Macaca fascicularis: one gene and its partner. The protein of the gene in region 1 purifies or fractionates together with the protein of each later gene. This does not show direct contact. Links are inferred from orthologs where the notes say so. Each region holds a gene or a part of one and is shown on either strand. Other genes may lie near its edges.

Evidence for each region.
Region 2: the proteins of KCNJ4 (region 1) and DLG4 purify together in Homo sapiens (affinity purification with western blotting, with the first as the bait; 3 studies listed by BioGRID). This does not show direct contact. The link is inferred for Macaca fascicularis from reciprocal best matches to the Homo sapiens genes KCNJ4 and DLG4.

What each region holds. Positions count from the first base shown.
Region 1 is NC_088384.1:13,196,081-13,200,670, forward strand, and holds the start of KCNJ4 (inward rectifier potassium channel 4), read left to right. Parts: upstream 1-1,621; 5' UTR 1,622-2,535; intron 2,536-4,590. UniProt on the Homo sapiens protein: Inward rectifier potassium channels are characterized by a greater tendency to allow potassium to flow into the cell rather than out of it.
Region 2 is NC_088390.1:7,243,435-7,247,234, reverse strand, and holds part of DLG4 (disks large homolog 4), read left to right. Parts: intron 1-2,127; coding exon 2,128-2,423; intron 2,424-2,604; coding exon 2,605-2,707; intron 2,708-2,847; coding exon 2,848-2,962; intron 2,963-3,800. UniProt on the Homo sapiens protein: Postsynaptic scaffolding protein that plays a critical role in synaptogenesis and synaptic plasticity by providing a platform for the postsynaptic clustering of crucial synaptic proteins.

The DNA of each region.
Region 1 (4,590 bases):
CAGGGAGAGGCGTGGAACAGGACGTGCGTTCTGGAGGTCTGCACAGTCGGAGAGAGCCGTGAGAAACGATGGCCACATTTATTGAGCGCCTACCATGATCTGTGCATCCACCTCACTTAATCTACCCCTGGGGAATGGAGGACATTAGGGTCCTCAATTTACAGACAGATTAAATAAAAAGTTGTTCAAGGTCAAGTAGCTCCTAGGTGCTTTTGAGCCTAGGTTAGCCTGACTCCTCATCCCACTAAGCAAGAACCATACTTGTGCCCAGCCCAGGGACTGGTACGTGGTGGGTGCCTAGTGCTGGTTGAATGAATGAGTGGGTGATAAATGACTTCTGCTAGGGTCATCAGGAGGCCTTCTCAAGGAAGTGGCACTGAGGCTGGACTTGGGGAACAGCAGGAATTCTCTGGGCAAAGAAGGTGGAAGGGCATTTTAGGCAGGAGGAACAGTGTGTGCAGGCAGAGGTGTGGAGACCCGTGGCATGTTCTGGCATGTTCTGGAATCTGTGGAATCAGGGTGTACCTGTGGATTTATGGGATGTGGGATGCCAGATAAGGTGGGGCCTGACTACACCACACTGAGGAGTTGGGACTGGATCCTTTTGAGTAGGGAGAGCCCACCAGGAAGGGAAACAGTTGTGGTGATTTGCATGTTGCTCTTCTTATGCTGACATCCTCAAGGCTCAGGAGAGCCAGAGGGGATTTCAGATTTCATCAGTTCTCCACCTGGCTTTGGGGGCCTCAGTCTCTCCCTCTCTGCACTGGGGCTAGTTGGTGATGGCCAGACTCCCAGGGAAGTTCTGCTGGCTGTCTAACTGCAGGTGTTCTCTCGTCCTACCACCCTGGAAGGAGGAGCACTTTCCCTCCTGTCTCCTCGGAGGGCTAGAGTGACGTGGTAGGATGGTCAGGAAGTAGCTGGTTTGACAGGTGCTGCTGGGGGTTCCGTGACACCCCAGACTGTGGGGCCCAGGCCTGACAGCTTGGGGTAATGGAGAACGACAGAGAACAAGAGACTAGGGTTTGGCCTTGTTCTGTCATCTCTGGGTGACGTTGGCCGAGTTTCTGAGCCTCTCTGGTACCCAGTCTCGCCATCTGTAAAATGGGGCAATGGTGACTGAGTGATCGTGAGGGTCCCTCCAACAGGGCCACCTCGGACTCCCGGAGTGGGGTGCTTCGGGTCCTTAACCGGCGGTACTTCGGGAGAGTACGAGGACCGCCAAGGAGAGGGGCCGGACTCCGTGGGACCCCAGATGGACCAGCTACCACCCATCCCCTTCCCGGCTCAGAGGAACTCTCTCCACCTGCCCCCTGGGGGGGGCCCACAAAACCCGGGAGCGGATCCAGGAACGGGTTCTGGGAGGAGCGCTCCTGGGGTGAGGAGGAAAACCCGGGCAGGATCCAGGGCAGGAGCGGGGCCAGCAGCCCCCAGCCCCAGCCCCTGCTCAGCGCCGCTGGCCCCGCAGGAAGGGGCCTGAGGCCGGGTTAGGCCGAGGGGCGGGCAGGGCGGGTCCCCGCGGGCCGCCGGGGCTCCCAGGATGGGGGACGCGCGGCCTCCGCAGTGGGGCGCGGGTCACGTGTGAGGAGGGGCGAAAGTCTCGCAAAGCGGGGCGGCGTGCCGCGAGTTGGGAGTTCTCGGCGCGCCGCGGGCGGCGGGAGCTCGGGCTCCCGGGCGAGCCGGGGACGCGGCCGAGGCGGGGGCCGGGGTCCGAGACAGAGGGGGCCGCACGGAGAGTGGGAGGGGGAGAGACAGAGAAGGACAGAGGCCGCGAGGGAGACGGACAGAGACTCGCAGGGGAGAGAGGCAGCGCGGGCAGAGGGAGGCGGGAGGAGGCCAGGGGGCGACCGCGACGGAGACGGAGACCCCGCGGGCAGAGGGCGAGCGGGGCCGCAGGAGGCAGGGAGGCCGGGAGAGGGACGGGGACGCGAGGGCGGCGGAGACCCCGGCGGCGGGAGAGAGACGCAAGAGCGGTCGGGGAGGTGGCGGCAGAGCCCGGCCGGCGGGGGCGGGGAGGGCGACCCCAGGCCGGGAGGCCGAGGGGTCGCGGGGCCGGGGCCGAGCGCAGCGGGGCCGGGAGCGGAGCGCAGGGCCGGGGCCAGAGCGCGCGACCAGGAGCGGGTAACAGCGAGGGAGCGGCGCGCAGCGGGGGGCGGCGGCGGGGAGGGCGCCTGCGGCGGGGGTGGGGGGCGCGGGCGGTGGGGCGCCCCGGGCCCCCGGACCCCCGCGCTCTGAGCCCGGCCGAGCCCGACGATGCTGACGCCGAGGCGGCGCCTAGGGCGCGGCGCGGGGCAGCGCTGAAAGTTGGGCGGCCCGCGGGGAGCGGCGCGGGACGGCCGGGACGCGCGGAGACCCCAAGACCCACGCGCAGACCGAGCGGCAGCCGGGGAGGGGGGCGCGGGCCGGCCGGCCGAGTTCGGAGGCAGGAGGCACCGGGACTCCCCTCTCCGCGCCCGGGACGCCGCCCGCCGGATCCCGCCGTGGGATGTAGCGCCCGCTCGCCGCCTCCCGGACTCTCGTCGGACCCTCCGCCCAGCGGTAAGCCGCGCTCGCCCACCCCGGGCGCTGTCCGTCAGTCTGTCCGTCAGTCTGTCCCGCCGCGTGCGTGTCTGTGTGTCCCGGGCCCGCCGCTCCGGCCCCTCCCGCTCCGCACCTGATCCGGAGCTGGGTCCCGGCTGCCCGGCGCCGCGCGCGCGGTCCCGTGACTCCCCGGGAGCGGGCGGGCTCTGTCCGTCTGGGAGCGTCGCGGTCTGGGTTGTGTACTGGAAAGGGGGAGAGAGGTGGGTGGAAGGGGTCTTGACCTCCTGCCCCGGCCATGACCTTTCCCTGCCTCCACCCACCCCAGTTGTCATGCCGGGGAGCTTCAAGGCAGGTGACTTGTGGCAAGGTGGGGGATGGCGCCTTTCCGCCTCCCCAGCTGCAGCCTCGTTGCAAATGGCCCTGTGATCTGAAGAACGAAATCCCACTTCTCATGTTTTGAGCGCCTGCTTTGCGCCACACGACCCCAGGGCGCAGGGGCAGGGATCGGTAGAGGAGGCACTGCACATTCATAGTGATAGAAACTGCGGCTGCGGAGGGAGGCAGAGGCTGCTTTTTCCTCCGAGTGTAGGGAGCACCCCAAGGCAAGAGAGGTCTCAATGAGCCTCCCGCAGGGAGAACTTCCCCTGCAACCGACCAAATATACCCCCACCAGTGTCAGCCTCCCTGCCCCCTACCCACACTTCTGCCCCCAGTGTCCCCGCTTCAGGATGGAGAGGATGCAGGGAGTTGAGAGGTGGCAAGCTGGGTGGGGTGGAGCAGAGGGTATTAGAGGCAGGGCAGCCTTGCCAGCTGACAGAGCAGGGCCTCAAGAGCAGTAGAATGTTCAGCAGCAGGTTTGGGGGAAGTGGGGAACTCAGGGAGGGAGGCCCAGAGAAGGGTTGGAGCTGTGTGTGTGTGTGTGTGTGTGTGTGTGTGTGTGTGTGTGTGTGTGTGTGTGTTCGTTCTCCCCCACATCGAGTCCCATGACCTCCATGGCTTCAGGCCTTTTGGGGGCAGTTAGCAGGACTTTAGGGGCCCAAGAGCATTGCTGTCGCTCTGGCTTGGCCTGTGATGAGGGGAGCAAAAGGTGGAACAGGGCAGCTGGGGTAAGAGATGGGTGCAGCATGGTGGGAACAGAGACTGTTGGCCACTGAGCTGACCCATATCCCAGCTGGAGTTGGAAGGGCTGAGCCTAGAACATTCCACTCCATTCTCATTGGGAGGAGGGACTCTTTCTGGGGTTTTCCACACTGGGCAGTGGGTCTTATATGTCTTCCATTCAGGCTCCCAGAAATTGGCTCAGCTGGCTGGGAGAGCAGCCCTCTGGGCTGGTCACTCTCCTCCCAACTGTCAGCTTCCATGTCTGTGGCATGGGGACATCACTCCCTCCCCCAGTGACCTCCAAGGCAGGCCCTGGGCTCAATGAGCAGAGGGCTGTTCACAGACTGGGGAAAGCGCTGGGGAGATGGGAGTAAAGACTTACTTTACCTTAAAAGACAGATGAACAGCTAGTGGGTGGAGGTGGACATGGGGCAGTGGGAATATGGTGGAAATAGAGAGCTGACCAAGGAGGAGTGTCCAGGATTAGAGTGGGAATCTGGGGTACTATTCCTCATGGCCCTTTGGGTCATCCTTGAAAAGAAAGCTCTTCTCTCAGAAAATCCTCTGGAGTGGCTGTGACCAGGCAGAGCTGGTTGAGTTTCTGCTGGGTGACCTTGGGTGGGTGGCTTGACCTCTCTGAACCTCAGTTTCTTCAACTGGAGAACAGGGATGATGATACTGACTTCATCAGGGTGTTGAGCACTTTCCAGACTGTGTCAGGTCTGTGAAAGCCGCGTGCGCCAGCCTGGAGCATAGTAGGTTCGTAGACATTTGCGAAAGAGAGAATGAAGTAGCTCTGGGAGATGCTGTGAGAAGATGTCTTAGCTTAGGATAAGAAGGAAGGGGAGGAGGAACAGTGTAGGCTTACAGGGCGGGCTGCTTCTTAATGTGGATCTGGGGGAGGCGGGGGCGAGTGCTAAGGGGGGTGTGAGGAGGAGGGGGCCCCTCTGCGGGGACCACTGAGTCACGAGG
Region 2 (3,800 bases), on another chromosome or scaffold:
GTAGAGATAGGGTTTCACCATGTTATCCAAGCTGGAGGAATTTTTTTTTTTTTTTTTTTTTTTTTTGAGACGGAGTCTCGCTCTGCCGCCCAGGCTGGAGTGCAATGGCCGGATCTCAGCTCACTGCAAGCTCCGCTTCCCGGGTTCACGCCATTCTCCTGCCTCAGCCTCCCAAGTAGCTGGGACTACAGGCACCCGCCACCATACCCGGCTAGTTTTTTGTATTTTTTAGTAGAGACGGGGTTTCACCGTGTTAGCCAGGATGGTCTCGATCTCCTGACCTCGTGATCCGCCCGTCTCGGCCTCCCAAAGTGCTGGGATTACAGGCTTGAGCCACCGCGCCCGGCTTTTTTTTTTTTTTTTGAGAGAGAGTCTCGTTCTGTCACCCAGGCTGGAGTGCAGTGGCACAATCTTGGCTCATTACAACCTCCGCCTCCTGAGTTCAAGCAATTCTCCTGCCTCGGCCTCCCGAGTACCTGGGATTATAGACATGAGCCACCACGCCCAGCCGATTTTTGTATTTTTAGTAGAGACGGGATTTCACCATGTTAGCCAGGTTACTCTTAACCTCAAGTAATCTGCCTGCCTTGGCCTCCACAGTGCTGGGATTACAGGCGTGAGCCACTGTGCCTGGCTAAGATTTTTCTTTTTTAAAGAAGAATTCCCACTAATAAATGTTCCCCACTCCAAAGAAAGAAAGAAGTAGAATATCATCGTTTTGCAGTCCCTGATACATATCAGAACCAGGCGGTGATTGTCAATGTGGCTAAAACTCACCTGAAAGGCTGATGGGGTGCCATATAATGGATGGACAGGGCTGACGACCCTGAACCTACCATTAATCTTACCTGACAGAAAGACAGCCAGACATTGTATCCTGTGGTGATGCCGTAGGAAGAACATAGCGCTACCTATGAAGTATACAGGACTTACTAAAAAAACCTCTGAATTGAACTTGAAACTGATCAAGCCTCCAGCATGAACTGCCAGTTTACAGGAGATACAGGGGCAGAGGCATAGGCTAAACAAACCACAGGAGGGTAAGCAGTAATTTCCCTGTTAGAATTTCCCTCATAGGGCCAGGTGCGGTGGCTCACGCCTGTAATCCCAGCACTTTGGGAGGCATAGGCGGGCGGATCACGAGGTCGGGAGATAAAGACCATCCTGACTAACATGGTGAAACCCCGTCTCTACTAAAAATACAAAAAAATTAACCGGGAGTGGTGGTGGGTGCCTGTAGTCCCAGCTACTCTGGAGACTGAGGCAGGAGAATGGCGTGAACCCAGGAGGTGGAGCTTGCAGTGAGCCAAGATCGCGCCACTGCACTCCAGCCTGGGTGACAGAGCGAGACTCCGCCTCAAAAAAAAAAAAAAAAAAAAAAGAATTTCCCTCCTAGGCTGGTCAAGGTGGCTCACGCCTGTAATCCCAGCACTTTGGGAGGCATAGGCGGGTGGATCATTTGATGTCAGAAGTTCAAGACCAACCTGGCCAACATGGTGAAACACCATCTCTACTAAAAATACAAAAATTAGCTGGGCGTGGTGGTGCGTGCCTGTAATTCCAGCTACTCAGGAGGCTGAGGCAGGAGAATCGTTCGAACCTGGGAGGCAGAGGCTTCTGTGAGCTGAGATCACAGCACTGCACTCCAGCCTGAGACTCCTTCTCAAAAAAAAAAAAAAAAAAAAAAGAATTTCCCTCATAGAATGTGGGAAATTCTTTTAGAGAAATGACCTAGTTTTTCTTAACAAATGGATGGCAAAGAGTTGGGGGGAAAAAGAGGGAGAAGAATTTTATGGATTAAGAGATTTGAGTGACACAGGAACCAAAAGAAAACTCCCAAAGCGTAATATTAATGTTCCCTTTGACTTCCCCATCCCTGGCATACTGAGGACATATAATGTTTAAATTCTTTATCCCTTAGGACAACCAGCCTGTGATGTCACCTCTAAATTCCTGACCCCTGACGTCACTGTGATCCGATATCCCCTTACCACCCCACCCCGGCGTCTCTGAGAGAACAACTTCCCTTCCACCTGACTTTGGCTCTCCTGGCACCTGGGGAGAAGGTTGGGTGGCGGATGCTGTTTCCCTCCAGGCACTTTCATCTCTGCCCTGTGTCTTCCTCAGCTTATTCTCAGCACCTGGACAACGAGATCAGTCACAGCAGCTACCTGGGCACCGATTACCCCACAGCCATGACCCCCACTTCCCCTCGGCGCTACTCCCCAGTGGCCAAGGACCTGCTCGGGGAGGAAGACATTCCCCGAGAACCGAGGCGAATTGTGATCCACCGGGGCTCCACGGGCCTGGGCTTCAACATCGTGGGTGGCGAGGACGGTGAAGGCATCTTCATCTCCTTTATCCTGGCCGGGGGCCCTGCAGACCTCAGTGGGGAGCTGCGGAAGGGGGACCAGATCCTGTCGGTGAGGGAAGGCCTGCCCCTACCTGCACCACCCCCTCCCCTCAGGGCAGAGCGCAGAGCTCTTGGGGAGGGGCCTGGGTGGGCTGCAGCCGAGTCCTCTTGCGGGACCACTCCCTGCTCCACCTGGACCCAGAAGTGCTGGCTTCTGTCTCTGGTGACACAGCCTGTCCTCCTCTCTCTAGGTCAACGGTGTTGACCTCCGAAATGCCAGCCACGAGCAGGCCGCCATTGCCCTGAAGAATGCAGGTCAGACGGTCACGATCATCGCTCAGTATAAACCAGAAGGTACCAGGCCAGAAGTTCCTGTCTTGTGAGCTAAAATGGCCCTTAGAACTCTGCCTCCTCAGCTGATGGCTTCAGTAGGGGAGGACAGGGGTGGCAGTAGGATGGGGACAGAGCTCAGGAACCTCCCTGTCCTTCCTCAGAGTACAGCCGATTCGAGGCCAAGATCCACGACCTCCGGGAACAGCTCATGAACAGCAGCCTGGGCTCAGGGACTGCCTCCCTGCGGAGCAACCCCAAAAGGGGTTTCTACATCAGGTCAGAGGCTCCCCGGGCTGGGCTCCTCCGCCCCTCTGCGTTCCTGGGCACTCCGTGCCTGGCCCAGGCCTCAGCCGCTCCTCCTCTCTACCCTGCCTGCTCTGACTCCCCACCCCAGGCCTGAGGCGCAGCAGGGGTTCATGGGCTTCACTGCACAGGTTAACGTTTGAAATACTCCCTGTCGATGGGAAAATAGCCTCTACCCCAAGTATCCCAGTTGCCTTCTAGCCCCTGGTCATCCCAGCACTTCCTCGGGACTCCCAGGCCACCGCACAATTTGGCTTCTCGAAGGTTAATGCTTGGTGGAGCATGGTCCTCTAGGGTATTTGGAGTGTTGCCCTAGCCTTCACATCCCTGTGGGCAGTTCCGGAGAGGTGGGCTGCAGCTCTGTGGTGCCTGCCCCCCTCTCTCCAGCGGTGCTGTGGGCAGTTCCGGAGAGGTGGGCTGCAGCTCCGTGGTGCCTGCCCCCGTCTCTCCAGTGGCATTTTCTCCCCTCTTAGGGTTCGTCTCCATTGACTCTTTTTGTGGCTTAGGTTTCCGCCAAAGCACATCTCCGTCCCGCCCCCACGGGTCACCCCCTACTTCTCTCCCCGTCTGGCCCTGTGGCTTGCATGGCCTCGTCTGCCACTCCGCTCTGCAGATGTCTCTCGGAGCTGTTGGCCCTGGCTGACCTCTTTCTGGAGGTCAAGACCTGCACTTTTGGCCATCTGCTTTCTGGCCATCTCCACTGGGATGTCCCACAGGCATCCCACACTCAACATGTCCCACACTGAGCTCACCATCCTGCTGTGGAACTGTGTTCTGTCCTGCTGTGCCAGCAGTTTCCCTCTTGCTGAAT